Schizosaccharomyces pombe: one gene and its partners. Each later gene encodes a partner of the first gene's protein in a complex. Each region holds a gene or a part of one and is shown in the gene's direction. Other genes may lie near its edges. The genes, in order: mrpl12, rml2, mrpl10 and mrpl33.

Region 1 (4,424 bases):
AACATTGGTCGATTGGAACAAGGCCTTGGAACGTCAACGTCGTGAAGTCTTGCTTGCCCTGCAAAATTTCCATGTCATAGTTATTGCTCCTTGCAAGGAGGTCAAAGGCTATGTAAAGAAGGCAGTTGAAATGATTAAAAGAAGAGATAAAAAAGTAAAAGAACTTGAAAAAATTCAAAAAGAATTATTGGTTGTTTACGAATTGCCTGATCCTGAAACCAAAAAAAGTAAAATTAAAGCATTACAAAGCCAGCTTGTCCGTGTCAATGGTGAATTGGATGACCTTCAGAAGCATTTAACTTTGTCCTTCCCAACTCTTATTGCAAAAAGTCGTGTTTTTTTTGGACAACTTATGAAGCATTTTTACTGCTTGCAACTTCAAATGTTTCGAAAAATGCACAACATTGTTCGCCCTTGGGATTGTTTTCAAGACGATATTCCCCAAACGTGGCTCGTTGAGTTTTCCTCAGTTTGCCAGGCTGCTGAAAGCATTTCCTTAATTGCCGTAAACAACAACCGTCCTCCCGTAGAACTTCCAAAATCTGGTGATGTTTTATCAAATAGAGAGTGGGAAGCTGGAAAAATTGATGCCATGAATTCTCTCATCGCTCAGAATTTGCATACTTCAGCGTCTCAGGTAAGCCTTTCGCCTATGGCTAGTACCGCTAGCTCTTCTGTTACAAATTCTCCCGTTGACACACATACTCCTTCAACTCCAATTATGTCGCGTCCTCCATCCATGAAAGCCCTTTCTTCTGGTGTAGAGTCCCAAGATGAATCGGTTGCTAGTAGTAATTTTCAAGTTCCAATTATATCGAATCCGCTTTTTAAATCCCCTGCACCTTATTCACCAACATCCGTTATCTCCAATCATTCCTCCACCGGTAAATCCCTGGTGATTTCTGAATGGGCATACCTTGCCTCAGGAAGTGCGAATGTGGTGTTTGAGTATGTTGGTAAAAATCCTTACTTTCAAGACAAGGTAATTCGTCTTCGACGTCGAGGACAGGTTTTTACTACAGAACAAGTTTATGAATACTATCAAAATGTAATTTATCCTTTGTTTGCTGGAATGGAAAGCTTTTTAATTGAGGTTTTTTTGCAGCCAGTTACTAGGGATTTTTTGCTGGCGGCCCAAAATGCTTCTGGTATTTATTTAAATTTAAATGAGCAATACTGTTTGGTAATGAAAGATCTCAAAGATGGAATTGAAATGAAACCAAAATGGTTGACTCAGTCCCCTGCCGCTCCACCTGACTGGGTTGTTTGTCGAACGTGTGCCCTTAGCCGTATGCGTGGTAGACCCGTTGGTTTTTGTCCTCTACAGCTTGATTTCAACAATTGGCCCAAGTTTTTGTGCTGTCTTCAAGGATTTGTGAGTCCTGATATCGCAATGAGATTGTTTCAGTCTGGTATACTACGGAAGCTTCGTGACCTACAAGAGCAATACTCTCGTACTGATGTTGCGTTAGCGATGACCCTTCGAGATGTGACTTTATACATTGGTAAAGATCACATAACATTACTAGATTTAGATCCTAAAGACATGAATACCAAAATGTCTAAATGGGAACGTGATGAAAGGAATTTGATTGAAGGCGGTTGGTACTATGGTCGTGGGATGAAGTCTACTGACAAAGCATGCCGGAGCAGCATAAAGTAATTATCTCATTGTTAATTTTTTTTCTAATATGTAATACCACCATCAATTTGTGGATTTATTGCAATATTTCAATACATTATGCATTTTTGTTTTATTTGTTATATGCCTGATAATTAACAGGGAGATAAAAGCATAAAAATAAAGGGTTAGATTTATTTGTTCTCTTCAACTAACTGTTGAACACTTAATAATTCTAGAGCATTTTTTACTACGAGGTTAGTTTATTTTCTAATTATTACTAATGAAAAATTAATAAGATCCATTGAACATATTTTAGATATTTGATGAATGATCACCTAAAAGTTGTAGTTACTATACTTAACTTGCCAACCCCCATCTCACTTGCACCTTACTTCACCTCAAGTATAATTTTAAAATACAGCATGTTTCGCATCGCATCACGCCAAACAAGAAATCTGTAAGATTGTAATTATTTTTAATTAACAAATTTATACTAACTTTAAAAGACGTGCTTTATCTTCCAGTAAGAACTGGGCAAGATCGTTGGTAAACACGCGATCATTTCGAGCTGCCGCATCTGTACAAAACAATAATGCCCAAATTGGGGAAATGGTTGACAAAATAAGCTCTCTATCATTGTTAGAGACGTCTGAACTTGTAAAGCAATTAAAGGAGAAGTTAAACATTGCTGAAATAGCTCCGATGGCAGCAGTGGCTCCAGCAGTAGCTTCAGCCGCTCCTTCTGAAGAGAAAGCTCCTGAGGAAAAGAAAGAGGAAAAAACCACCTGGAATTTGAAACTCGAATCGTTTGATGCTGGTTCGAAAGCCAAGGTGATCAAAGAGGTGAAGTCTCTTTTGGGATTATCTCTTGTGGACGCAAAGAAATTCGTTGAAAGTGCTCCAAAGGTTTTGAAAGAAAATATTTTGAAAGAGGATGCTGAAGCTATAAAATCGAAGTTAGAGAAACTTTCTTGTAAAGTAGTCCTCGAATAAACTGGGTTGTTTATAAAAAATTTCATTTCTATGCTTTTCCGCCATTCAAATTCTTTGGGCAACCTTTTTGTTATTGCTTTGACATTGTGACACGATTTACTTTCTTGGATTCCCATAAAAACTAAGCTACGGAGGGAAAATTCATCATCTCTAAAAAAACCAGATATTAGGTAATGTATAAAATACTCCAAAATTATTAGTTAATTATATGTTTTTATTCTATTTGGGTTACACTCTATGTTTTCGCTCTTCGGTTCAGGAAGTTGCATGAAGACATTCATTAAACTTTTCGTATTCATCCTTTAGGGATTCCAAATCGCTTTCAGTAATTCCTTGGGTAGTGTTCCATGCAATTTCCGCTTCTAACTCTGGTTCTGAAATAGCCCAAATGTTTTCACGCATTCTTTTGTGTCGCTCTCTGTCTTCTTCAATCCTCTTAAGAATGTCGTTTTTTGAAATGGCTCCTGAAGTACTGGTATCACCTGACTTGCTCGCTTGTTCATGGGCTTCTACCGTAGCCATAGCATCTTTATATTGATTATCATCGATTACCTTCTTTTCATGCAAAGACTGGAGTACTTTTCTAACCTCTGGAGCGTTAGCAGCTCCAGCAGCTCCTATAGGAGCTACGTTCTGGACTAGCTTACAGATATCTCTACTAATCATATTAAGATATCCACCTGTAAGGCCATTTTTTAAGCACATCTCACAGAGTGTGTCCACAAAGTACATGATATTCACTCTTGTATTGAACGAACCTGACTCTAGTTCCTCCCATATACATGAATATAAGTCTTCTTCCAAGTCTAGATGCTTAATTGCAAATTGCGCGGGTTTAATTTGAGAGAATTGCGATGCATTCAATTTTCCCAAAAGCTGTAGAAATGTCATGCGGCCCTCAAATGGATCCATTTTATTATTGCAAGTATATTGGTAATTGCGAGTGCAACAACGATTTTTGTTATGATGGTTTTTCTTATACTTCGTGAACTTTGAATTCCAAAAACATCAAGAATAATTTTTTAAATAATAATAATGTGTGTTGTCTTAAATTTCAAATATAGAATAAACTTCCTTTGCCAAGTGTTCATCTATTCTTGAAGCTGCAATCTCTGAAATTTGAGACTAAAAAAAGCGTTGGGATACTATTTTGCGAAAGGACGTTGAACCTTTCCAGATTCAAATAAATTAAAATATACTCAGTGCATAAGTAATATTAAGAGGTCTTCAAACTGTTAGCATGTTGCAAAATCTGTTGCTTTAAGTAGCATGTTACTTTATTTCAAACACTATTACTGTACCTTTAAAGAAACTAAAATCTCATTTTATTAAATACTACTTTTTTAGTAATTTCAACAGCGAAATAGTAAATTTTCAAAGATATTTTTATATAGCCCTGATAAAGTTATAACCATTCACCAAACTGTTAGGATCTCTGAGTATAAATAGCGGGAAAGAATAACTACTATACTTTAATAAAAGCACAAAAACCGACCTTACTTATATGGTAAAATGAAACCCATGAATCAGTAAACAATTTTTATTTTTTTATACGCTCTACTAAGTCGTACATACAAAATCAACATTTCCTTTCAATAAAGAACTGCTTTGAAATCTAAAATGGCCAGCGACAAACTTATAAGGTTTGCCTAAAAAGTAAATATAATGGAGAAAAATACTCTCGAAAAGAGAAAAAAAATGCAGGATGTATTGTTCAAGGAGAAAAATATAACAACGGGATAATGATATAATGGAAATACACCCGTCAAGTTGCAAGTAAAAGCGATCCTAAGCAGAATAAGCTTCT
Region 2 (4,362 bases), 460 kb from region 1:
TCCGACTTATTTGGAGGTTTCGCAGAGACGGCTCTGTTGTAACAATAATCTGCTTGATCCCAAAACTCTAAGCTTTCGCTGAGTTTCGCACAGGTGAACCAAAGTTCATGATCTTTCGGCTTTAAATGTGCAGCCGCCATCCAAGCAATTAAGCACTTTTCAATATTTACTCTTCCATTACCCCTTTGACGATGACATTCACCAAGCATTTTCCAAGCCGCAATGACATTATTATCAATACGAACAATCTCTTCAGCTAATTTTTGGGCTTCGTCGAAGTTTCCTTCTTGCGCAAACAAATGATTCGCTAAACTCAACATTTGTTGCACTTCCACCGAGGGAAGCATATCAGCTCGACTAACACGTCCTCGACCTTTATGACCTTTACGGACTTTTCTAAATCCAGCAACTGCCTTTAAATTTTCTTCCCATTCCTCGTTCGCAATGTCGTCCTCGGTTCTTGAGGCTGTTTTACTAAAGTTTGATTCATCGTCACTGCCTTCATAATCTGACTCTTCGTCTGACCAAAGGCCCTCAGCTTGAAGGGCAGAGGTATCTCCCAAAAATTTTGCATCAACTTCAGATACATTCCTAGCCTCATCGACAATTTCGCTTATATACCCGTTTAGATCTTGCATTTCAGCATCAAAGTTGTCAGTTGTATCATTTTGCGTTTCATTCATATTGGAATCCACATAGCTATTTCCACCATTTTGAATCATCCTTTAAGATGCTCAATCATGCTTTCAAATCGGTCTGTTCCTTTTGCCTACTTGAAGTTGGCTGTTTTCGCGTTGGCGTTGGTGAAGGCAAAGTTGAAGTAAGTCATTATAGAAGTACTCAATAAACAAAGAGGTCATGGGTACCACATATCTTGTTCTACAATTGACTAATTAATATGAAGTCAATAAATATTAGTCCTTTTTTCCTGACACCAGTTATTTTACTTGCAACATTTTTGAATTGCAAACTTGACAATTTTGATGTTGTCAAAATACCTAATATCTGTAAGAATTTGGAAGATCCTAGTCAATCAAATAGTGTTTTTCACTTTTTTTTTTGGAAAATGGCATCTCAAGGCTTTTCATGTTGATTGACCTTTGTCAGTGTACACAGAGTATAGTATCGAAACCTTTCATAAGCAAACTAATAAGCTATATTAAACAAACGCAGATCAACCCCATCTTCGAATTGTTTTGAAACGAAAATGAACGAGTTAACAAAACAAATTTCCATAGTTGAAACTTTTCGTTGAAACTGTATATTAAATAAGATTTTTTTGGTATGTGAACTTATTTAGTAATTAATTAAGCACACATCCAAAAAGGAATGTGAGAAGAGTTTTGTGAGAAAGCAATGTTTTCCTGATACCTTGAATCCCTTAAACTCTTCATGCTCAGCAGGCTTATTACAGGTGTCGTAAATTCTAGTTTAACTTTGCTCAACTCGAAGGAAAAGCAAATTCAATTTATCAAAATTTCCAATATATTATAACGTGGTTGAAATTCTCAGTTGACCTGCCATTACTTTCAAACGTATAGAATCGGGTTTACAATGTATAAAATATTTACTACACAGATGATCAAACAATAAAACAAAGTTCTTCATTATTATAGCTAATGTGTTCAATTTCCTCTATGTTGTATTCCCTAGATCAATGTTCATTTATTTACACAGTTAACGACACCTTGGATTGTGTAAAGATTTTAGCACTGAGCGTCGCAAATTATGATTGAACTCGTTAATTCGCAGTCCATCATATTGTGAGTTCTTACCATAGGTTTAGTTGGAAATCCCCATGTTGAGTTATAATCGATTTCGGGGGTATTTGATTCCTCAAATTCATGCGTTAAAGCTGTTCAGATATGCCTCTACCGCATCTACAAGCGGTGAAAAAATTGAATCTTCCGAGAGACCCTACGATGTAGGGATGCTTCTACGACCAAAAACGAAGTTCGAGGTATGTAATATTAACACGAGGGTTACTTTTTATTTATCAAGCCTTAATTCATTTTTTACTAATTCTTATCAAGATTAAAACTTACAAACCTATATCTCCTGGTCTTCGTCATTTAAAAAGACCAGTTAGTGATTACCTTTGGAAAGGGAAACCTTTTCGACCTTTGACCGTTGCAAAAAGAAAAAAAGGTGGAAGAAATGAAACAGGAAGAATTACTGTAAGGCATCAGGGTGGTGGACACAAACAACGTATTCGTCTTGTTGACTTTGAAAGAAAAGTACCGGGTGTTCATCGAGTGATTAGAATTGAGTATGACCCTGGTAGAAGTGGTCACATTGCCCTTGTTGAAAAATTGAATTCCGAAACAGCCAACAAAAGTTATATTTTGGCTTGTGACGGGCTTCGCGAAGGCGATACAGTTGAGAGCTTTCGATCGCTTTTGAAGACTGGTTCTAATGGCGAGCCAGTAGAAATGGACCCCGTCCTAGCTGCTGAAATTGAAGATGGAACTTTTGCAGCAAAAAATTTGAAGCCAGGAAATTGTTTTCCTCTCAGATTAATTCCTATAGGAACTGTCATTCATGCCATTGGTGTAAATCCAAATCAAAAGGCAAAGCTATGTCGTTCTGCTGGCAGTAGCGCTCGTATCATAGCTTTTGATGGTAAATATGCTATCGTTCGTCTACAAAGTGGTGAAGAGAGAAAGATTTTGGATACATCATTTGCTACCATTGGTGTTGTAAGCAATATTTATTGGCAACATCGCCAGCTTGGTAAAGCCGGTCGTTCACGTTGGCTTGGCATTCGTCCTACGGTTCGAGGTACAGCTATGAATCCATGTGACCATCCACATGGTGGTGGTGGTGGTAAAAGCATTGGTAATAAACCTTCTCAATCTCCTTGGGGTGTTTTGGCTAAAGGTGGATACAAAACAAGAAGAGGTAAAAATGTTAATAAATTACTCGTCCGCGATCGTCCTCGTGGAAAGGAAAAGCGGTAATCATTTTATTAATGATCTCTGTCTTCATGACTTTTACATTTCTATGTTTTACATTACCGTAATGCATTTCAATTTTCATGATCCCTTCTCCATTTTAATAGTCGATGCTATTACCTATCCATTTGTGGACCAGATGCATTTATGTATAGTTATTTTGTGTCGACCGTCATTTATCGACGAAAAATTTTAAGCATTTTTTAAGAGTTTAGCTCTTACAATTTAAATCTGTATTGGTAATTTTTGTTCATCACAACGTTGCTTAAAGCTAAGGACTATCCCATTCAAAATTGTCGTTTGCTTACATCTACCTTAAAAGGGTTATCGATATCATTCAGGTACCAAAAGAGTATTCTATTAAACGCAGAAAAGAACGGTTTTATTTTAATATGGCCAACTAAATAAAAAAATTTTATTTATAAAATTGTAGCTAATTTAGCATATTAATTTTTTCTTGCCTTCGTCCAGCGAAAAGCGACTTAAAAGCGGATAAACTGGGTATTTAATATTTCTCTACAACACAATTAACGCTTGGAAACCCTGGAACGACGGTCTCTCCTTGATTTGCGTGGCTTGCGTCGAACTTGGAATATTCTTTCCATCAGTGTAAGGTCAGACACTTTAGGACCTAGTCGTTCATCTAATGGCGAACCCCTTTCATCTTGATTTCTACTGTGCGAAAGTGTTAGTAATTTGAATATAAAATTGAGTAAAAGGAGATTCTCAAAAGTAGAGGAAATGATTTTTGAAAAGTATGAGTGCACCCGGACTAATTTGGTTTTCACAAGTTATACCTTTTAGATTTGCTCTTCTGAGCCTTTTCTTCTCGAGGATCACCGTGAAACAGATAATATCTCGAGTAAAGATGTGCGCTTTTAACCTTCTTGTCTCCGTAGCGGGCGTAACGTATTTTGAATTGACACGTCGGTACAGTTGGGTGTGGTTTCGTTTGATATTCCAATTCCTCTGAAAATTCTGTCGGAGACTCCATAATTAAATGAAATAAAGCATTTCGTGAAACATCATCATCCGCATAAACAACGTTGCCTATACGCGGTTATAGAGTTAGACTAACCCTTTGCCAGTTTTCGCTTCTTACATTCGTTATCATTAATCCATTCAATTGTACATTGAGATTCAGGAGCATAAGCTGAAATAAATCCTTTGACTTGTTCTTCTGAAAGATTATCGACGCCAGCTAGATGTAAAGCTGTTTTACGCAATGTAGTATCAGCCACCACTTCCGTTTCTAATGGAGTACTAGTGGCGTCGGGTATCAATGATTCTTCTTCAATCTGAGTCTCTGCAACGATATCCATTTAAATCTACTTCTCTACAACTGCTTCGCAGACATGCAGTTTCCAAAAGAGTGAATGTGCCGTCCAAAGAAAATTACGACGCGCTA
Region 3 (3,858 bases), on another chromosome or scaffold:
AGCAAATGTTCACGAGTTTGAGGCATTTGACCATCGGTAGCAGAAACAACAATGATAGCGCCATCCATTGTAGCAGCACCAGTAATCATATTCTTAATGTAATCGGCGTGACCAGGACAATCCACATGGGCATAGTGACGATTAGCAGTTTCGTATTCAACATGGGCAGATGAAATGGTAATACCACGTGCCTTTTCCTCGGGGGCCTTGTCAATTTGACTATAATCCATAAAACTAGCTTGACCAAGATCAGAAAGGCATTTAGTAATAGCAGCCGTCAACGTCGTTTTACCGTGGTCAACATGACCAATAGTACCAATATTGACATGCGGCTTTTTTCTAACGAACACCTTAAAAAAGTTAACAAGTAATCAAAAAGATGAAGAATGAAAAAAAAATACCTTTTCGTCAGCATAAGTTCGAGCTGGGACGGTGAACCGGTTAATCAAACCTGAAGCGAAAGAAATGCGGTTCAATCGCAAGCAATTTTTTCTAAAGCCTTGAAAGAGGAGAGAGGTAGCTTTAGCTGAATTCATAACGAAGGGAGCGTGTAGGCAGAGGAGAGGTCTCTGGCGCTCGTGTTGTCCTTGAAATAAGTCTCAGCGGTGCGCATCGTTATGAGAATACTATTGACACGAGCATTTCATGAAATAAATGGTCCTGGGTGTTTGGATACAATCAATATTTGTAGAATTTATTTTATTTTGTTCTATTTTACCGCTACGCCTATATATGATGATACGCTTGTTAATAATAAAAAAATACTAGATGAACTAGTGAACAACACCGCCAAATCGAAAGCAATTGATAGTTTTTTTTTATTTGCACAATGAATGGTATTATGTCTCTGATCTCTAAAGGAATGTCAATCTGATTTTGCTAGATCGCAAGAGCAACCACCATGCAAGCAAAAATCGCTTACTATCCTGTCAAGTACAAAGAATAAAACCATTAATGAAAAGTCTCAATGACAAAGCTCAGCGTCTCGTGAATGTTGGTTAACTTCGAAGAGTCTTTTGCTTTTATTAAGTAAAAGGATGTAAGGAATAACAAGAAGTGGTGCGTGACTAAAGAAAGATAAAACTATCCATCCAACGGAATAAAGGAAAATCAAACTTTTCTGTAATATAGAATACTCAAATCAAAAGTCGTTACTATTGTACGAAGAAGCACCTCTAAAGCGAAAAATTTTAAACAAAAGAATGAGATAAAAATATGTAGATAGCTTTGTATAGTAATTTTATTCGTTCCTTTAATTACGAGGTGGAGCAATCAAAATAACCGAATCACCTAAAGTTCATTAGCATTTGGCGAAAAAGGAAAAACAGTTTCGAAAAGGAAAGCTTAATCATGGTCAAACTTTTCGAGCGTAATATTTAGAATCTACGTACCACGAACAAAGAGCATCTCATAATGTTTGCGAATCGTTTTTAAGGCCTTGTCCTTATCGGTCTCTTCATCATCAAAAATAGTTACAATTTCTTCAGCATCTCCTAGTACCATATTCTAAAATACGTGTAAGTAATCCATCCAAATGCGAGTTATGAATATGATTCATACCAAATGTTCATCATAGGCCTACAATCGAGTTAGTATAACCAATTCAGAATAAGAAAAATATTCAAGAAACGTTAAAAAAATTTCATACATGAAGACGGCCATTTAATTCTCTATCTCCCCGTAATTTTACATAAACGATTTCATCCAAAGAAAGCCTCACCAAATCAAGAGGTTCCGCGACCTACAAACATTAGTTACCGAGTTACTGTTGATAAATCTTACTGCCTGTGCCGATTCCATTATAAAGTAAAGGGTTATTATATCTACCAAGCAAGATCGCTGTTGCTGCAATTATGCACTGGCATATGTCAGGAAGAAATAAAGGAGGAAACAAATTCGAATTGCGCAGTGCAGCGATGCTGAATATAGTAATAAAGATATTTTTATGAGACGCTATAGAATTTTACGTATTCGTGTGTGTCCGAATCTTTTGTAATAGTAAACAGCAGCCTTGGACTTATTACCATCTAAACTCGACGAAACCCGTTTTTTGAATTGGAAAATGTTTAATATTTTATCTCGGGTTTGTCGCAGTTCTTCATTTCATGGTTTTTTGAGATCCTCTGGTTATCCAAGATTTGGTGCTAGTTTCCGCGGCATCAGTATGTTGAATGATTTAAACAACAGTGCAAATTATCAGTCAAAGAAGCGAGTGGGTAGAGGCCCTGCGAGCGGTTTAGGAAAAACCTCTGGACGTGGTCATAAAGGATCTGGTCAAAGGCGTGGACGGAGAATTAAACCTGGTTTTGAAGGTGGTCAAACTCCTATCACCAAATTATTTCCTAAAGTTGGTCACAGTACGGGACATTTGAAGAAACCGTTGCGTCTGGGGTTAGGGAGAGTTCAGGAATGGATTGATCGTGGTAGATTGGATGCTAGCAAGACAATTACTATGAAAGACCTCCTCGATAGTAGATGCTGTAGAGGTATTAAACATGGAGTTGAACTTACTGCTGACGAACCTGGACTCCTTAAAACAGCAATTTCCATAGAAGTTTCTAAGGCTACAGTTCAAGCTATACAACAAATCAAAAATGCAGGCGGCAGTATAACAACAGTATATTTCAGCCCGTTGGCGCTACGTGCCCATTTGCATCCTTCAAGTTTTCGTACACCTCCTCGCCCTCCCCTTCCAGTTTCAAAGAAAGACATACGCTACTACACAAATCCACATTTTGCAGGGTATCTTGCCAACGTTAAAAATATTCGAGAGCTATATTATGGCGACCAACGATTCCCCTACGAACCGATTGTTAAAGATAAATAAGTAGTTCCCATATTACATCAGAACTTGATATATGTTCATCAAAAATCCCGCTTTCCTAATATGTCCTTAAAACTTTGTTATGTCTATTGATGATTCCGTGCAGCCTCCTTTACTTTCTTGGATGGGTTACATGTTGAGTTTTGTAAGGAAATATCTGCATCCTTTTCTTAGTACATTTGTATAATTACGTTTCCAATTTCGGTGTTTGAGCTCTCTACTGACTTTTTCGCTTACAGTTCAATACCCATTAGTAATATTTTGAATACCTTTCTCATTCGAAAATATAGCTTCCTTCTTTATCCCCCAAATCCCCTTGTTGTAGTCAGTTCATTCTCTGTCAGATAAACCCTTTCTCACATTTATTCATTTGCTTCATTAGTAGATTTGAGCATTCGCAGTCATGCACTTTTTTTGTATAATCAAGAACCCCTGCCGACTGTTTGTTAAATTATTATCTTTTGCCTTTTTTTGTTTAAAGCTTTCTTAAAATTTTTTCATCCTCCGATTGTCTATCCAACAGGAAAAGATCTTTCAAAGGATCTCCTTTTCAAAGGCATGCAAGGAAGAAGAAAAAGAACATTTGTTGATCAATGGAACGGTTAAAGACTTATATATAAGAATGACTAAGAAAACCGGCATTTGTAATAGAAGTGTAAGCGAACCATAGTAGTACATTAACCTTATGATCAATTAATCTACATAAACGGTCAATTCTAAAAAAAATAATACATATTGACTGGGAAACTCCTTATTTCATATATTAGAAAGGGACATTTATCAACTCTCCAATTAGTGCACTAAAACGCAGTATGGAAGGAACGATGCTAAGAACTGCTTCAACACTTTGTCAATAAACCAACAATGTCGGCTCCGTCGCCGTTTATTAAGAAACTTGCAGCTAATGGTAAATTTCTTACATATAAATGATTAATGTACTAACACTGTAAGATCGAAAAACTCGTGATAAGGCTCTTGAATCGTTGCAGCGGTTTTTAAGCCAAAAGAAAAAATTTGAAAGGTTAGACTTTCTC
Region 4 (3,337 bases), 1.1 Mb from region 1:
TACGAAGTCTCATGCAGCGTTAGCAAGAAGCTCTACTCTATAAGCGAGAATAGCTTAACAAATCCGAATGTGTTAAGAACAGACAAAAAGCAAAGCAATAAAAGCATTTTCAAAATCTATTTGACATAATAAAAATAAACACGATTACGGAAGTCCCTTAAGTGTTATAATGGTCTATAAAAAACTTGTATTGTAAATTTCTACAATAGGAAGCTTGGGTACCACAATGGATAGGACTATTAAACCGAAAGGCATATCAAAAATTTTATAACCAGATACATACGTATAACGTATCAACATTAAAACTTTAATAGGAAAATATCACGTAGGATGAATTATCCAAACTCATAAATCCTGATCAATAATTTTTTAGTTAGCTCACACCGACTGCTTATGTATAAGACTCAACAAGAGTGTCTCTGTTGCTTATAATAGCAGAAGGTTGAGCATCTTGAAGTTTAAATATAGATTCACAGACAGCCAATTCAGTAGCCGTAGTATCAAGTCCAGCAAACGCACACCAGTCGTTCACAACTAGACCAGCACCGATAACATCGGAACCACGGTTGATGGTACCGGCAACAAGAGGAACTTGAAGAAGTGATGACAATTCATCCTGTTCCTGAATGCTAGTACGAGGGTGAACCAAAGCACCTTGATTGCTCAATGCACAATACGAACCGGTTAAAACATTGCCTGCAACGGTTTGACGGAAAACTTCAACATCTAAGACATCAGCAATAATTTCCTCGGTTTCACGCTCAATATCAGGATGAACAAGGGCCACATAGTCGTTGCAAGCCACAATGTTTCCTAGAGCTGAAAGTCGTTCATCAACACGTTGGATTTTGACAGGATCTGGAAGAGAATTGCGGAGGTGCTGTAGTTCATTATCGGTGGTAGAAGAGGGAACTAACAGACCTTTTCTATTACCACATGTCAAACGACCAATGATTCTGGTTCCTCCAATTGTGGTATGAACAACGGGTACAACATCACCTAACTCTGCCTCGAACACGCTGTTATAAAAGTTAGTGAAAAGTTGATAAATGTAAAAAATGCCAAAAAAAATAATTTGTCGAGCTGCATCGAGTCAAGGAATAATAAAGGTAATGAACAGCAAACCGCCAGAGTTTAAGTAGTGGTTTGCATTTATGTAGCAAAGTCTCTTTTACTCAATTAAAGAGTAGTTAGGCTACATCATTCACATATGTGCTATTTATTTTTCTCATAATACGTTCGACTGGTTAAGGATTTTAAGAACCTTTAAAAAAATTTTGAATCGTTTACATTTAGAACATTAAATTTTGGCATCAAATAAACGTTAAGCTTACCTGTAGAAGTTTTCAGAGCCTCCAAGCGCTACAAGTGCGTATGAGTTTGTGAGATTAGAAAAGACACCAATCCTATAATTTGTTAATATCATGCGTCTATTAAGCAAAAAAGCTGAGTAAACTTACTCATTAGAATTCTCGAATTGAGCACGAAGTGCCATTTTGGTAAAGAAAAAGTTTTATCCCAGCCAAATTTCACATCTTAAAAATAATAATCCATTGAACATCGTTAATATGATATTAGCATTGTGAAGCAGACACGTAATACCAATTAACATAATTTTTTGTGATATATCGGTAATACTGCATTACACTAATGATTTACTAGGTTGCGTATCACTATATGTTACATGTTGGAATATTAGTAAAGATCCGTTTATTGACAGTAAACAGATAAGTAGTCGTCTATACTCATAGACACCATGTGATTACAACTACTAGAAAGATGATAATTATAGATGTTACTGTAAATCGCTCCTCTCCATTTTTTAACCATATCGGTGACTTACACTAATAGACTTCTTATAACAATAAATATAACATTGTAGTTAATATACTGCATTCCACTAAATGTGGATCGCAAAAAATTCATCGTAATTCAATGTATCGTTAAATAGATAGCAACGTAGTGAATAATAGTGAACAATAACGAGCTTGCGATATGAATTGTATTTTATCGGTTGAACTAAAAGAGTTTCAATATTTAGTGTTAAACGGACTCCACGAACTTCTAGTTTACCATAATGTCATTCTTTCGAGTTCGTTTAGAAAGGTCAGCCATCGGGCTCTCGAGGTACGTGTTTTGGAAACGAGAAAAACATGCTTGTAATTGCTAACCAATATTTTAGTAAGGTGCGCAGCGTTTTGCATTCTTTGAGGTTAACAAAAAGACACTCCGTAGTCTATTGCGATGTAAATCCAATCAATGCGGGAAGAATTTTTAAAGTAAAAGAACTCGTTAGTGTCAGTACTGTGAAACAAAAGTTAGCCGCTGGGCAAGAAAAGAAGTCTCTTGCTTCTAGTAGCGGATTTACAGTGATACATCGATACAATAACGGTTTAAAAGAATTGAATAACATGTTTGAAAGTTAAATTTTCATTCTAGTTATATTTATCGTAATAGTTCATCTAACCAACTTTGGTCTTTGTTTGGCTTTTCAGACATATAGTTCCTAGAGTCGTTTCTTGAAATATGCATGCTGGAATGATTAGAAGAAATGTAATTTTCCCCTTTATCTTCTGTAATGGAAGGCGGAGCAGACTGATCCATACTTTCAAGAAAAGAATCAATATCTTCTTCCGCTTCAGCATGGCTAATGTTTACCTTTGGCTTTTGTACATTATAACGCTTACGGAATTCTTGAATTGACTTTTCATGCTCAACGCTCTCCAACATGTCGGCTACTTCTTCACGTTGGATAGTCCGAACTTTGGACTTGGGTTTTTGGTTGCTAATTCCCAAACCAGTAAGGGGCCGTGCTTGTAGTTTTGAATACTCGAAATCTTCTTCTTCATCTTGAATTGTATCTCCATTCCCCACGGTCTTCAAACTTTCCAAACTTGGATATTCTTCCTCATTGTTATCTTCATCAAAGTATTCCCCTGCATTTTTAAATCTCCATTCGTTATTTCCCAAATTTTTTTTACGAGGTTTTACAGGTGCATCATGAATGTCATGCTTTTTTTTATACGCTAATGTCGCTTTTCTCTTCCATTTATCTTGTACTACCATATGGGACGTCGTGTCTGAAGAGGCAAGGAGGAACCTGTACCCTATAAGACAATAAGTTTTTTTACAATGTTGGTCAATTTTTTTCTTTTCTCGTAGTGGTTTATATTTTTAACGACTCGAGTATAATAAAATTTGAAGCAATAATAAAGAAGAATCCTTTTTTTTTTTTTTTAAGCCAAACTTGCTTAGCGCTTTTTAATAAAAATTCGCACTCGACTGAACACTAAAAAAAAACTTTTCAATGATTGTACATTACTTGAATGTATAATAG

What was found.
Region 2: mrpl12 (region 1) and rml2 share a complex: the UniProt entries of both Schizosaccharomyces pombe proteins name them as parts of the mitochondrial large ribosomal subunit.
Region 3: mrpl12 (region 1) and mrpl10 share a complex: the UniProt entries of both Schizosaccharomyces pombe proteins name them as parts of the mitochondrial large ribosomal subunit.
Region 4: mrpl12 (region 1) and mrpl33 share a complex: the UniProt entries of both Schizosaccharomyces pombe proteins name them as parts of the mitochondrial large ribosomal subunit.

The regions. Positions count from the first base shown.
Region 1 is NC_003421.2:1,158,464-1,162,887, forward strand, and holds mrpl12 (mitochondrial 54S ribosomal protein bL12m), read left to right. Parts: upstream 1-1,992; 5' UTR 1,993-2,046; coding exon 2,047-2,081; intron 2,082-2,130; coding exon 2,131-2,617; 3' UTR 2,618-2,872; coding exon of another isoform or gene 2,873-3,529; 3' UTR 3,530-3,853; downstream 3,854-4,424. Other genes in the region: ipk1 (inositol 1,3,4,5,6-pentakisphosphate (IP5) kinase), read left to right, coding at 1-1,663; Lsk1 complex gamma subunit lsg1, read right to left, coding at 2,873-3,529; protein Nro1, read right to left, coding at 4,406-4,424. UniProt on the Schizosaccharomyces pombe protein: Component of the mitochondrial ribosome (mitoribosome), a dedicated translation machinery responsible for the synthesis of mitochondrial genome-encoded proteins, including at least some of the essential transmembrane subunits of the mitochondrial respiratory chain.
Region 2 is NC_003421.2:694,124-698,485, forward strand, and holds rml2 (mitochondrial 54S ribosomal protein uL2m), read left to right. Parts: upstream 1-1,788; 5' UTR 1,789-1,798; coding exon 1,799-1,960; exon of another isoform or gene 1,961-1,984; intron 1,985-2,033; coding exon 2,034-2,960; 3' UTR 2,961-3,359; downstream 3,360-4,362. Other genes in the region: transcription factor TFIIIC subunit Sfc4, read right to left, coding at 1-722; RNA cap binding protein cbc3, read right to left, coding at 3,482-3,629, 3,752-4,004, 4,057-4,276. UniProt on the Schizosaccharomyces pombe protein: Component of the mitochondrial ribosome (mitoribosome), a dedicated translation machinery responsible for the synthesis of mitochondrial genome-encoded proteins, including at least some of the essential transmembrane subunits of the mitochondrial respiratory chain.
Region 3 is NC_003423.3:1,820,874-1,824,731, forward strand, and holds mrpl10 (mitochondrial 54S ribosomal protein uL15m), read left to right. Parts: upstream 1-2,029; 5' UTR 2,030-2,062; coding exon 2,063-2,827; 3' UTR 2,828-3,084; downstream 3,085-3,858. Other genes in the region: translation elongation factor EF-Tu Tuf1, read right to left, coding at 1-350, 402-536; U6 snRNP-associated protein Lsm3, read right to left, coding at 1,253-1,290, 1,392-1,506, 1,561-1,578, 1,649-1,741, 1,783-1,800; Nop52 family nucleolar protein, read left to right, coding at 3,689-3,731, 3,776-3,858. UniProt on the Schizosaccharomyces pombe protein: Component of the mitochondrial ribosome (mitoribosome), a dedicated translation machinery responsible for the synthesis of mitochondrial genome-encoded proteins, including at least some of the essential transmembrane subunits of the mitochondrial respiratory chain.
Region 4 is NC_003421.2:2,221,312-2,224,648, reverse strand, and holds mrpl33 (mitochondrial 54S ribosomal protein uL30m), read left to right. Parts: upstream 1-2,066; 5' UTR 2,067-2,077; coding exon 2,078-2,127; intron 2,128-2,182; coding exon 2,183-2,426; 3' UTR 2,427-2,445; downstream 2,446-3,337. Other genes in the region: tif6 (translation initiation factor-like ribosome biogenesis protein), read right to left, coding at 392-1,019, 1,335-1,406, 1,461-1,495; SPOM_SPCC1919.07 (uncharacterized protein), read right to left, coding at 2,446-3,066. UniProt on the Schizosaccharomyces pombe protein: Component of the mitochondrial ribosome (mitoribosome), a dedicated translation machinery responsible for the synthesis of mitochondrial genome-encoded proteins, including at least some of the essential transmembrane subunits of the mitochondrial respiratory chain.